Linked DNA regions of Drosophila melanogaster. The protein of the gene in region 2 binds, or shares a complex with, the protein of the main gene of each other region. Each region holds a gene or a part of one and is shown on either strand. Other genes may lie near its edges.

What was found.
Region 1: Polr3B (region 2) and Polr3F share a complex: the UniProt entries of both Drosophila melanogaster proteins name them as parts of the RNA polymerase III (Pol III) complex.

Annotation. Positions count from the first base shown.
Region 1 is NT_033777.3:22,364,068-22,369,291, forward strand, and holds Polr3F (RNA polymerase III subunit F), read right to left. Parts: upstream 3,307-5,224; 5' UTR 3,287-3,306; intron 3,212-3,286; 5' UTR 3,151-3,211; intron 3,093-3,150; exon of another isoform or gene 3,092-3,092; 5' UTR 3,088-3,091; coding exon 2,695-3,087; intron 2,637-2,694; coding exon 2,148-2,636; 3' UTR 2,013-2,147; downstream 1-2,012. Other genes in the region: CG7071 (uncharacterized protein), read left to right, coding at 1-60, 130-440; CG5382 (uncharacterized protein), read right to left, coding at 601-890, 952-1,153, 1,209-1,402, 1,470-1,581, 1,645-1,746. UniProt on the Drosophila melanogaster protein: DNA-dependent RNA polymerase catalyzes the transcription of DNA into RNA using the four ribonucleoside triphosphates as substrates. Specific peripheric component of RNA polymerase III which synthesizes small RNAs, such as 5S rRNA and tRNAs.
Region 2 is NT_033778.4:12,036,061-12,044,865, reverse strand, and holds Polr3B (RNA polymerase III subunit B), read right to left. Parts: upstream 5,826-8,805; 5' UTR 5,748-5,825; coding exon 4,865-5,747; intron 4,814-4,864; coding exon 2,283-4,813; 3' UTR 2,243-2,282; downstream 1-2,242. Other genes in the region: Drep1 (DNA fragmentation factor-related protein 1), read right to left, coding at 1-2; 128up (upstream of RpIII128), read right to left, coding at 6,087-6,189, 6,255-7,095, 7,149-7,269, 7,402-7,443; CG43191 (uncharacterized protein), read left to right, coding at 7,701-7,713, 7,779-8,189, 8,299-8,427, 8,483-8,637. UniProt on the Drosophila melanogaster protein: DNA-dependent RNA polymerase catalyzes the transcription of DNA into RNA using the four ribonucleoside triphosphates as substrates. Second largest core component of RNA polymerase III which synthesizes small RNAs, such as 5S rRNA and tRNAs.

The sequences.
Region 1 (5,224 bases), on a different chromosome or scaffold from region 2:
TGACCAAGAATGTGGATGCCGGCTTAAAACACTATCCAGAGGACACTATCAGCTATCAGAGTAAGTGAATACGCCCAGCTTGTTAGATCCGCCCTTTTAAAACCTTTTTCTTCTTCCCTTCCCTTTCAGTTAAGAGCCTTAACAAGCAAATCATTGCCGTGGTGCAGTTCATCTTCTCCGTGGCCGCTGGCTTTACGTTCGGCTTTTTCGGCGTCAATTTGATGGTGGGCCCGCTGCCTTTCGGCTTTCGCATCTTGCTGGGCGTGATTGTAGCGCTCATCATAGCCCTGGCTGAGATGTACTTCCTGGCCAAGAAGCTGCACGAGTACGATGAGGTCTTGGACGCGCCCAAACGTAAGCCGCAGCCATCGACGCCGGCTAAGCGCACCCCGCCCGCCGAGGGAAGTCAAGTCCAGACATTGAAACCCCATGTTGACTAGATAGATGATCTGCGAGTAAAAATCGTTCTTTGTCGTTGTATTATTTCGCTTTGCAATGTTAGGTTATATAAATAGCTGTAAAAGTTTTATTCTTTCGGAATCGGGGACTTGGATATCGATTATATGCTACGTATGCTTATTTCGACCGTGAATGCACACCCTATTCGTAGTGGTTCGGCTGTGGATTGGGGTTATTCCAGCCCTCGTCCACGGCATCAGATCCTCCGCGACCCAGCCAGGCCATAAGATAGACGAACAAGACAAAGGCCAAAATGCCGGCGGTCACCAGGAACCAAGTGCGACGCCACGGCGGCCGCGAGGAGGGCGCATAGAAGCGGCGTGTCCATCGCGAGAACAATTCCGCAGGAGTGCGGCGCTGGTACTTATTATCGTCTCGATCTGTCCCACCAATTGGCGACTGACGGGGCAGCAGCGGTCTTCTGCTGCTGGCTGCAGGTGCGTAAGATTATAATTATAATATGACTCAAAGTGTATGCTAGATTATGCGCACCGTAGTCGCCCGCACTTGGGGGATTAAATGCATCCATTAGGAGCACGGAATGTGGGCTCACGGCGTCATGGCCATTGGGCTTCGTGCGCTCTCGCTCGCCACCGGAATGGATGTGGTGCACTTTGGTCATGTTGCTGACAGCCGCCTGGCTTGCCACCTTGGGCTTAATGGCCTTCAGACTGCTGCTCTGCTCCTCAGAGAGCTGGGAAAGATTCAACATTTAAATTGATTACAAGCTTACTGCCCGGAATGCTTACCAGGGCGAGTCCCAGGCCATTTCTGCCCCAGTTAACCTGCGACAGGAAACTCTTCAGAGCATCGGCCACCGGGGAGACCAGGTTGGCGTTGGGAAAGATCTCCACACTGCAGGCGGGGCACTGGTGACCCCGAGGGGCTGTGTTGGCAGGCAGTGCGGCTTGGCGGGCGTTCAGGCAGTCCCAGTGGAAAACATCTGGAAATGGCAGGATTATGGGTAAGTGTGTGGTGTCTGGATTAGCTCAAAACTGGCAGATCCCTACGGTAGCAGACGAGGCGCACGCAATCGCCCTGCTCCAATGTGGTGCCGCACAGAGTGCAGTTGGAGATGTAGTCGCTGTCCCGCAGCCACTGCAGATACGACTGCACAATGCACTGAAAAAGAGTGGATATGGTGTATTCCAAGCATCCATAAAACTAGAGGACAGGAATCCTTACCTTTGGATGAGACTGAACCATACAGTGTTCGCAAACATTGACTCGATGCTCAAAGCAAAACTGGTTGGTCACCAGGCGCTTGGGGCACTTGCACAAACCCATTTCCTTAAATTCGGGGTTCCTAAGGCGGCGGAGGAATTGCACTTGGCGGCCTTGGGACAGCTATCGCATAATAACGCCTCAATAAAATTAAATTTTATTTCGTTTCGCAGCTTTTGTCGGAATTTTCGAGTTTTCATTCACATATTCAACAGCCACGTATCTGTTCATGCGTTCCGGGCGATTGGCAACCAGCTGACATATTCTGCGAATATCGTAGCGATGAATGATGAAATACGATATGTGTTTGCGATTTAAAAAATCGGTTTCAAATTTTCCTTTTTTTTATGGTAACCATAACATTTAAGAGTTAATAATGTTTGTGCTACAAAAAGCTTAATAAACAATAAGTTCAATTTGTAATACTTAATATAAAATAAAATCCAGAGTTTTCGAGCTAATCCCTAATCCAACCAATCTCGCATATATTCACAAGTTATAGCAGTTACATCGCCACAATTGGAGCAGTTTTTGATGACGGGACAAATGCCACATGGCATCTGGACCAGACCAGTCGGAGGAAGTGGGGCGTTCACCGCCCGGTAGACGAAGGATCCATCCTGCTGGCGCACTCGCTCCGCATTGCCGTCGTACACCACTGTTTTGAGAATTGTTTCCAGATCGGCCTCCGCCAGATTAACCTTGCTGATGCCCAAGTCCGAGATGAACTTCTGAACCTCGTTCACCGTGCAGCAAGACATCTGCTTGAAGGCCAGTGGCCCCTCGCGCTTCTTTTCCGCACTGTCGCGTTTCATTTGCAGAAAGCGCAGGCACTGCTGGTTGAGCACATCCACAAACTCCACCTCAAAGTCCTGATCCTGGTACCAGGCTCCTCCCGTAATGGAGAGATCCGGCTCTAGGTTGTACAGCATGTACACTTTCTTTTTGCTGGCCTGCGCGAAGAAAATTTGGAATCACATTGAACTTGGAATATGGGATCATAGAACCTACGTTCACCGACTTGACCGCCTTGATGAGCTTCTTGGTTTCTAGGTTCTTGAGGATCTTGTTGAGCTGTATCATGTTCAGGTTGGACTTCATACGTATATCCCTAATCCAGATGCCTTTGTTGCCGCCCTCCTCAACAATGCCGTAGACGACCTTCTCCTCATTGTCCGCATCCTTGGGCAGGGCACTCTTCTTTTCCGGGTCCTTGGCACGGTACACCAGCTTTTCACCCTTCTTCAGGATCTCGATCCCGCCCTCCTGCAGCAGTATATTCAAAGCTTCCACCCGCGTGGCCGCCGGCACATCGGGCAGCGCCTTGGTCAGGTCATCGTTGGTGGCACCGGCTGGGATGCCCTGGACCACCGCCAGCAAAAGTTGCGACACCTCAGTGGCCATTTTTCTATTCTCGAAAATTTGTTATTTAAAATTCAATTAAATCGAGAAAAACAACACGCTTACCGTGAAAAGCAAAACAAAAACAAACGGTTCCGGGCGAATGGCTACCGCTGCTAAGAAGAAGCTAAAAAATAACAAAAATCACAAACCAATTTTAAAAATATAAGTTTGTTCTATTAAAAATAATACTTTACGCAACTGAATAAATGAGGATAAATAAGGAGCATATGTTTTAGGCTTTATTACAAATTGCTTTAAATAAAATTTAAAGCTTTCCGAAGACCCCAAATGTTATATCGTGAATCTGGTATGTATATACCAAATGGTATTTATTTTAAAAACGAGTGGCTTTTTTAGGCTCATTGGTGCCAACTGTTTTTTCGAACAGATCGCCGGACGCACTGTTTCTGATTGGAGTGTTCGCTGCCTGTGCATTTAAATTGAATTAAAATAATTCCAAAACAGGAAGAGCAAATACATCTTTCCGCGAGTTCACCTTTACTGTCAAAAACAGGTAATTATCAGATCTTCTTGATACGACCTCAAGCTAAACATCATTCCATTATAATACGCTAGAAATTTTGCTAACGAAATTGGCGGGGGCAAGACATTTGTTTTTGCTGTTGTTGATGATGCAAGCAATTTCTCCACATTATGTAGAATTGCGTTTGCCGCCTCACAAAACACATACACACAAGCACGGCTGCGAATTCAATTCGCACACCCATACAATCTCAAAAGAACCTCGTTAGCGAAATGTGTAAAGGTGAAATAGAAGTCATTCCATGCGGAGCGCGCCACAAGTAAAATAACCTACACCATCGCAATCACACCCTATTAAACATGCCATCGGAAATAATGCAGCAATAATAATCTTGAACCGCTGTAAACTTCCACTATCGCAATTGTTTAATTGCTCTGTGACGACGACGCTTTCAGCGATGATGAGTAATTTTGCATAAATTTGCTCTGTGCCGGATTGTCTGAATTATATTTGAAATTTTGTTGCTGTTTCGGCGTCTCAGTGATAAGCATTTGTTGTTGCAGACCCGAGCTTCAAAATGTTAACGGCGCTAACGTCCTTTATCCACAAGTTCAAGGTTAAATAGTACGGCACATAGTACTCATTACATATTGACTGAAGCCTGGAAAAGCACTTTCACTTTCAGAACTTTTCTCGTGCGTTTTCCGGCGACAAAAGCTGCAGGCCGGCGAGCTTTACTTGCACGGTTTCTGCGCGTGTCACTCACGATGAGCGAAAGAGAGAGCGGAAGATAAAAGGAAAGTAGATGCTCACGCACTTGCATAATGGCAGTGCGAGCGAGACGAAGCTGTTTTCTGTGGAGGAGATTAGGTTGTCAAGGTCAGCACAGTGGAATTCTAGGTGGAAGTGGGACAGTTGGACAGTGGGCTCTTTTCCGCGTTGCTTTTTTTCTGTATTGCCAGCTGATAAGCGCCGTCTAACAGCTGATGATCGGTTTTTTGTTTACCACGCACACACATACTGACATCACGTGTCCATATAATCATATATACACATACTTCTGTACAATGCAAATTTATATGCAAAAATTAATAATCGTAATGGATCGTTGAACCTTCTGTTCTATCCGATTGCCGGCCAGCCTAGCAACGGAGCTTTGCGCCAGTTAACTTCGGAGCTTCCTTTTTGGATAAACTTTTCGCATCCCCTTACGCGAAGGGAGTTAGGGTATGTTGGCACAATAGCATATCTTGATCCTGCTAAACACTTTACTTATACTTAAATATCGAATGATAATTTGAGCCTCTATCTTTTCCATTTGATAATATCTTTATTAATTTTTATATGCAGTATTGTAAGATTAAGGTTATATTTCACTCGGAATTATATTGGGAATAGCGGTAAGGCCACTTGGTCGACTGAGCAGCTGGCAGTCCCTGGTCGAGCATACCCTTGAATATACCCTTCTTGCTCGCTCACCAATGTTGTCTCTTTAGGGGTGGCCTGTTGCGTCCGCCTCTTGCCTCTTGGGCCCAAACTCTCTCTCCTCTGCGTTTATGCTCTCTTTGCTGTCGGGCTACCGACATTCTGAGCGCTTTTTCTGCGGCTAGGAAAATTTCCGCTTGCCAAAAAATCTGTGTGGCAGTCGAACTT
Region 2 (8,805 bases):
ATGGCTTTGTTTGCTCCAACTAAATTACTTATTCACTATGCACTTTATTTCCAGGCTTAATTGCTCCACATTAAATGACTTTTCTATAGATTTGATTACTTTTCGCTTGCTTCTTGCACTTGCACTCGGCGTCCGAACAAACAAACTTGGAATTTCCTTCCACAAGCTGCACTTCAAATGGGAATTAACAATATTTTCTCGGCTCCGCAGCGGAGCTTTCGTTGCGATGAGCACCGGTTTTGAAATGAGCGCGTTTTGCTCAAAAGCACTGCCTTTTATACGCAGAGAAAGGGCTTCTAACAGATGTTGAGTTCGAACTGCGAGTGCTCGCTTTTAAATGAATGTTAACTGATAGGTTCAAATAATATTTGTTTTATGTCCTATTGGCCATGTTTCTTTTTAATCATGATAAGTAAACATATTTTTGAAGCCTAACACTTTTTTTTTTTATATTTTTTTTTTTATAAATTATTCCCTGTAGATTTTGGTTATTTAATTAATTAATATTGTATCAATTTTTTGTAAAATAGGTAATAATGTGCTTCTAAAAGAAAACACTAAACAGATTAGAATTTTAAATATATTGAAACATAAAGCTTACAAAGAGAAAACAAACATAGTCAAAAACACGTTCTCTCTCGCTGAATATGTTAACATTTGGCTGTGGCCTAGTCCCTAGAAAACACAAAGAGTTTGCTGGAACAATCCTGGCTGAAAAGTTAAGGTGATTCCAGCAATCTAATCTCTATTTCCATCGGAAGGTGCTTTCGGATTCAATTAGTCCATTGGGAGGGGTTGCGCATTATCAGCCCAATGATATCCGGTGTTGTCAATTCGAAATCCCCTCGCCCGCTTGGAACCCGGCCAAAAGAGCAGTTGGACTACGCTTAACTTTCTACACAAGTGGCCAACACCCATTTAAATCTATATACATCTATTGCCATGCACACATCAACGAACCGTCCAGATAAGAAGAGCAAAAAGCAAACTTTTGACAAATGGCCAAAATACATGAAAGGAAAGCCAAAGCCGGAAGGTGGCCCCAGATTGGGTTCTCATCAGTTTGTGCACGGCGAAAAATAAAGATTCTGTTATGATACTAAAAACTAATAAAAACTATAACTTATTGCATACTTATCAGCGCCTAATTGAGCAAATGGATTCCATAAAGGATAAAGGTATGTAGGTATAAATAGGAATGAGTAGTTTTCTTTTAGTCATACGAATATCAACTAACTTTATATAATTCTCAAAAGTTTTTCCACGTATAAAACGGTACTGAATAGCCCGGAAAAGAGGTGGGCATGCAAGTATGGGGGAGATCAGAGATGGGGCAGCCTTAAATTGTCATCCTAGTGCGCACCATTGGTTCCTCGGATGCTGATGCTGCTTCTGCTGCTGGCAGTTTGCCCCGTTTGCTGTCATTGCACTGCACATAGTAACTTCTACGTGTCCTGCGGAGGAGAAGCAGCAGTGGGTGGTAGCTGTGACTATTTTAAGCGCAGGTCACTCGAAAGGACGCACAAGGACATTGGCTTGTGTGGGTGGCTGTGTCGCCTGCAGTTCGCAGGTCACGTGCATGCACCGCGGTGCATTGACCACGGACACGTTGACACATCGGCCGGAATCTGGGTTGAGCTCCACCTCGAAGCCAGGTGACAGGTAATTGCCTCACGGGCAATCAGGCAATAGGCAATATCGAGGGAAAACAATAAATCAACGCCTGGCGATATTGGTTTTACTAAGAAGCATCAAGCCGCTCGAGAATGTTTAGTTTAACTGAGCCAAAAAACAAAATACACATAAGATAGAGGATTATAAGGACAAAGAGCAAACAAAGAAACAGAATAACAAAAAACATTTCATCTTAACAACTTAATCTTTTGTCCAGACACAGACGTTTTAAATTCGGCCAAAAGGGCAGACACAACTAATTATCCTTTGCGCAATAAAAAAAAAGGATAACATAAGCGATTTAACACGGCTCAGTCCTTTTCAGTAACAGCTTGCGTCTGCCTGTTAACGAACAGAAAGCTGATATGCAAAAGGACCTCGTTAAAATTCAAGAGGACTTTCTTTCGCTGACTTCGTTTGAACCTCTTCATTTTGACATTTGCAGCTCGCGGTCATGGAAACTTAATGAATGCGTAGGATTTTTGCCCTTGCCAGAGTTCACACACCATTCGTTTTTACAAAAATATTGGAAAACCTAAGCTAGTTTCCATCATTAACCATTATTATTATATAACAATTATTTTATTCGGTTTCAGGCCATTGCATCGTTAATAGTTTTCCAAAATCATTTTCGGCACCACATTCATGCTGGTCAACTCCTGGAAGAGCAGTTTGCATGCATACGGCATGGATATCTTAGAGACATTGGCCGACGACTGGCAGAAATGACACCAGGAGCAGTAGGCCATCCTGCCGCAAGTCCGGCAAACATCCACCTCAAAGGCATCCGATGAGATCATCAGACGCTCCATGATCAGCATACTAGCTCCGTAAGAAATGAGACAATCCCGTTCCATTTCGCCCAGACGAAGGCCACCCTCACGACTCCTGCCCTGCGTCGGCTGACGGGTGAGCACCGCCTTGGGTCCCCGGGCACGGGCATGCATCTTATCCTGCACCATATGCTTCAGTTTTTGGTAGTACACGGGTCCCGAGTAGATGTAGGCCTCCAGTGGTGTTCCTGTGATGCCGGAGTAGAAAAAGTCCTTGCCCACGTAGTTGAAACCATGGCGCTCCAGTTCCGCCTGAATGTCTTCCACCTTGGAGCCCCCGAACGCAGTTCCATAGTGGAACTTGCCCTCCAGGAGACCAGCCTTCCCGCCGAGCAGCTCTAACGTTTTACCCACTGTCATACGGGAGGGGAATCCGTGTGGGTTCATTATCATATCCGGGCAGATGCCGAAGTCATTAAAGGGCATATCCTCCTGTTCAACAATCAACCCAGTCACGCCTTTTTGTCCGTGCCGAGAGCTGAACTTGTCCCCGATCTCGGGGATACGTGTCTGGCGCAGCAGGATCTTGATGAGAAAGTCTTCCTCGGCATTGGCGGAAACCATAACGCGTTCGATGTAACTGGGCTCGGGACCCTTATAGCTAATGGGTACTGCGGTGTAGGGAACCTGTGCAGACTGACCCTGCAGCGGATTCATCGATGTTACCGCGGGCATTTCCTTGTTAATCATGATCTGTTTGTTTTGAACCTGCTCGCCTGGAGCCACAATTCCGTCAGTGTCCAGAACGTCGTGCTTGAAGATAACCTTGTTCGTCAGCGCATCTTTCATGGGACCCATGATTCTGTCGAAGGTTTGATTCGCATACCGTTTCACAGTGCACTTTGAGTTTTTGTACACCAGACAGCGTCCATATCCCCGATCTATCGACGCCTTGTTTAAGATCAGCGCATCTTCGATGTCGTAGCCAGAGTAACTCATAACTGCCACAGTGGCATTCTGACCAGCAGGCAATTTGTCAAAGTTGGTAAGCTCGATAGTCTTGGATTTCACCATAGGAGCATGGGGATACACCAGATTATACATCAGCGAGTCAATCCTGTTCTTCTGGTTATAGCCAATCATTCCCATCGCCTGCTTACCCATAGCACACTGATAGGTGTTCCTGGGACTCTGATTGTGATGAGGATAGGGCACCAATCCAGCACAAACTCCCAGCAAAGTGAAGGGTTCGATTTCCAAGTGTGTAGTCCGGTCCTCTATTTGATCCTCGTTCCAGGCGATAAACGAATCGTTCTCCTCGTTCACATCTAAATACTCGATTAGTCCGTCCAAGAGAAAGTCGTCGAACTTACGAATCCCTCGATTCAGCTCGTCCAGGTGATGCTGCTTCACCAGCGGGCGACGGTTCTCCACAATTACATAGGGGCGGCACAGACGACCGCCATCCGTGTGGATGTAGATGCATCGCTGGGTGTATGATGTGTGCACAGACACGTAGCTGCCCATCCGACCCTTTCTGCGCATGTAACGAAGGTTCCGCACCAGGTGCTTGTGGTTCAAGGTGAGACCCAGAACATTACCATTGATGAAGACGAGGAATACATTCGGGTTATTGATGGGGTTACCGCTCACTTCTCGTATGTCTTCCACGCCAGCATTGAAAGCCACTATCATAACGGGTCGCTCCTCAACTTCGGTGGTGATGTGCGTCATCAGAGCCAGATTTTTGACCAGACCACAGGCCTCACCTTCTGGAGTGTCCGAGGGACACAGCATACCCCATTGACTGGGCTGCAGAGATCTGGGTCCCGACACCTTACGCGTCTTCTCAAACTGCGAGTTCACACGCGTCATCATTCCCAACGCTGAGATATAACTCAAACGGGACAGAACCTGCGTTACGCCAGCTCTTTCCATCTTAAATCTCTTGATCGTCCAGTTGCCGGAACTGATAGCAGACTCCAGTCCCGCTGTGATTTGTGCCGCCCTCATGTGCTTGACCACATCGAACTGCGCCGCCTTCACCTTGGGTATATTTTTGTCCGCAATGGTCTTAAGCTCCCAGTTCATGCGCTTGAACAGATCCTCGAACATCATGGAGAGCAAAGAACCTGCCAGCTCCAGTCGCTTGTTGCCGTAGTAATCGCGGTCGTCAAAGAGCGTTTTGTCCAGCTCGGCGGCCATAACACGACGCACCATCATGGATACATAGATGGCCTTCATTTGCAAGTTAAAGTTGTCCACAGGCACATGCGCCAAAATGGTAGTTAACAGCAGCTCACGGGCCTCTTCCGATGGCGTTTTTGTGGTGGCACTCTGAAAACGCTTGACCACCAACTTGGAGCCTAAAAAAAGGTATTTTAAGAACAAAATTTAACTAGGGTAAACAAACCTACCCATGTACTCCAAAGCCCTTTGCTGTGTGAAGACCTTCAGGTTGTAGGCGTCTATTAGAGAGGCACCGAATCTATTCTGCGATTTGCTGTCAATGCCAATTAGCGATTGAATTTCCTGATCGGAAACTACGCCCAGAGCTTTAAAGATCACCACAATGGGTATGTCGTCCGTCATCGAGTTGTGCTTGAGGTAGTACTTTCCATGCTTGCTCAACACCAAAGTACGTGACTTCTTTTCGTGTGTGGAGGAGGTAACCTGGCATTGCACCACACCGTTGAAGTCCTCGGTGAGCATCTTGTTCCATGACAGCTGCTCCTGAATGAGGATAACCTTCTCCTGACCTCGCACCACAAAGTAGCCGCCAGGATCTAGTGGACACTCATTCAGTTTGGACAGCTCGAACTCCGACTTGCCGGTAAGGGCGCAATTGGAGCAGCGCAGCATGAGGGGCATCCTTCCGATGAGCAAATTATTCCGCTTGATCCGCTGGGTTCCCCTCGTGTACTCGATGTCCACGGTGATGGGGGCGGAGTACGTGGTGTCCCTCAGACGGCATTCGTGCGGTGTGGTCGCTTTGGTGATGTTGAAGCCATCGTCGATGTCCGGCTTGCCCACCCGCACATCCAAGTACTTTAGGTAAAACAAAGGATCAGCTCCACTGGTAACCAGCTCGTTAGCCTTCACAATCTTTTTTATGTCCACGTTGATGAAGTGATTGAAGGAATCAATGTGCTGCTTCACTAATCCTTTTACTTGCAAGAATGCCGGCACCAATTTCCACTTCTCCGTTAGCGGCTTAATGGGCACCGACCAGTCCTTGCTGTCGCCGGGATCCCAGGTGGTGGCCTCCACGTTGTGATCGCCCATCTTTAGCTCCACCATTTCGTTATAATAATTTAATTTAAGTTTGTCAACAAAACAGCGTGCTATGAGGTTCTTCGATATGCGGTTTCTTTACCTATCGGTTATCGATATACTTGGGCAAGTGATAGCAAAGTTATTCCCATAGAGCTGGCAGTGAAATTAATTCCCGCTAAATCTAGCTTTAATTTATTTAAATTACCTCTGTGCGCGCCAATTAAAAAATTTGATAAAATAAAAATTAGAGGGTTTTCTTAAACTTAAGCCGCCTTAAATCCACGCACACATAAAGCACATTCGTTTTTTATTTTCGAATAAAAAATGCCATCAAGTAATCAAAGTGTTATCGTTGCACAGAGTCTAAACCTTCTTCACAATCTGGACCACATCCTCGTCGTTGAGAACGTGTTCGATGCCCACCTTCTGTGGCTGATGCTTCACAGATGAGCCCCAAACCAGCGCACTACGAAGGAAATACATAAATGTTATTATAACCAAGGGAACAGAGGGAAAGTGAAGCGCACTCACTATTTAAATTCCTTGGCAATGGAGCGATGCAGCTTGTTGCAGAAATCCTCAATGCTGGTGCGCTCGTTGTGGAGTACCACGGGCGAGTTGTAATCGGGCAGCTGGCCCTTGGGCTTGGTGTAGATGCGCTGCAGTCGCAGGTATTCCCACATCAGCTCCAGCAGATCGTCAAAGTTCCAGTGGTGATGGGCCGAGATGGGCACGCAATGCGGGATCTTGTAGATGACGTCCAGCTCCTCGATGGAGATCTGATCGATCTTGTTCAGCAGATATATGCAGGGTATGTAGATGCGGTTGCCCTCGATAACGTCAATGAGGTCGTCACTAGTGGCGTCGTATCTCAGGGTGATGTCCGCATTGTGGATCTTGTACTCGGATAGAATGGTCTTCACCAGATCCGTGTCCAACTCGGACTGCGGAACCATGCTGTTCAGATTGATGCCACCCTTGTCCTTCCGCTTGTAGTAGATATTTGGTGGTTTCTTGTTAAGCCGGATGCCGAAGCCCTCCAATTCATGCTCGAGGAGTTTCTTGTGGCCAAGCGGTTTCAGGCAATCCAGCACCATGAAAATGAGGTTACAGGTGCGAGCGACAGCAATCACCTGACGACCTCGACCCTTGCCATCCTTAGCGCCCTCAATGATACCGGGCAAGTCCAGCAGCTGGATCTTAGCGCCCTTGTACTTAATGCATCCCGGCACAGTGGTCAACGTTGTGAATTCGTATGCCGCCACCTCGGAGTAAACGCCAGCCAAGTTGGAGAGCAGTGTGGATTTACCCACAGAAGGAAACCCTACGAATCCCACCCGGGCATCTCCAGTCTTGGCCACCTCGAAGCCAGCTGGAAATACATAATGTTTAGTGATTGCCTGAATTATATATCCAAGAGCCTACCTTCGCCGGTTCCGCCGCCGCCTCCTTTGGGGGAAATCAGTTCGCGTCGCAGCTTAGCCAGCTTCGCCTTCAGTAGACCCAAATGGGCCGAGGTGGCCTTGTTCTTTTGGGTTCGGGCCATCTAGGATTCAGTTGAGAAGGTGGTCCAACAACCCGGTGATTTAGATAGAATCCAGGGGGGAATCCGCGGGGTAAATGGATGCGAGACAGGTTAGTTTCTGTAAGATCGGCAGGTACTCCAAGTTCCACTCACCTCCGACTCGATGGCCGAGATTTTCTCCAATATTGTGCTCATGGCTGGCTGAGAGTTAAACGCGGTTCACAGAAAACCCCAGTTATCAACAAATATGCATGTAAAAATAAAATATATAAAACTCTCGCGTGGACAGTTGGAGGTGCAATCGATATGTATTCGATACAATCGATTTGTTCAGTAATGTGGTCGATTCCCAACGTTAGCCAACACTTAACGAATCGTAAAAGTATTCTTAGACAAAATTAAAATGGTCAGGCTGATTGGAATATAGCCGTTACAATTTGATGGCTGCAAGAATGTTTGCTAAAGGTTAAGTTCCGCAATTAAATACTGAGAACTATTTATAAATTAACAAAAAATTAACATTGTTTCAGTTAAACCGCGCACCCCTCTGGGTAACAACCAAGCTCAATTTAAGAGCCAACTGACCAACAACGTCTCGCAATTGAATCGCAGTTTTCCAACGGCCGCTGAACTTTTGCGCAAAAATAGCACCCAATTGCGGCAAACAAAACTAACTGTCTGTCGTAAGGATAATAAGCTAATATACGATGGATTCGTGGAGGAAGCTGTGAAAGTTCAGCCCAAAAAGGAGAACGTTCCATCACCGATTATTCTGGAAAAATCCAGTTGCGAAATGTCAGCCAAAAAGGAATCAGCGGAGTTGCCAAGCTCCCCGATGTTGAAGCCAGGACGAAACTTAATTAGTTTAATTGGTCGCGTGGATTTCTGCCTTAAAACTCAAAAAATGTATCCGGAAATTAATGCTATTTGGAATGTTTACGGTGGGTCTGAACTGAAATACATTCAAAATCAAATTACTATATACATTTTAAACAGAATGATTAATATCGCTAAATTTGGCAAGTTAAATCATTAATTATCGTTTTTCAGGAAAATTGCTACGGATCATTGTGGGAAAACGTGGAGAACACACCTTGCTCGTGCGAAACAAAGAATCGGGGCCCGTCCTTCAGGGAATTTACTACGATTTCGAAGGCGTTATGAGTACTTGGAGCCCAGGTAAAATGCAGGAAACTGATAACCATTACATAACCAAAGTTTTATTCATTAAAAGGCTGCTTTGTCCATCTCGTGGGCCAGTTTATTGGCGAAAATCGCTTGAAAACATTTAAGATTGACCAGGTAAGCGACATTGACTGGCAACAGCAATTTCTGCGCATTGAAAATGTTACCTCGTATATTTTATTGCAAAACACTATGCAAAAGTAATTTATTTTTTAAGGATACAGTTTTCTTGAGATTTTTAGGCCAGGCGATAGTGTACTTTTCACAAGGTATAAATATGCTAGCCTAAGCTTTTCGATCCTGGCCTCCAATCAACAGTGAAATGTTTCATTTTGTACTTTTGTAGTTTACAAATCATGAATAATTTATAGA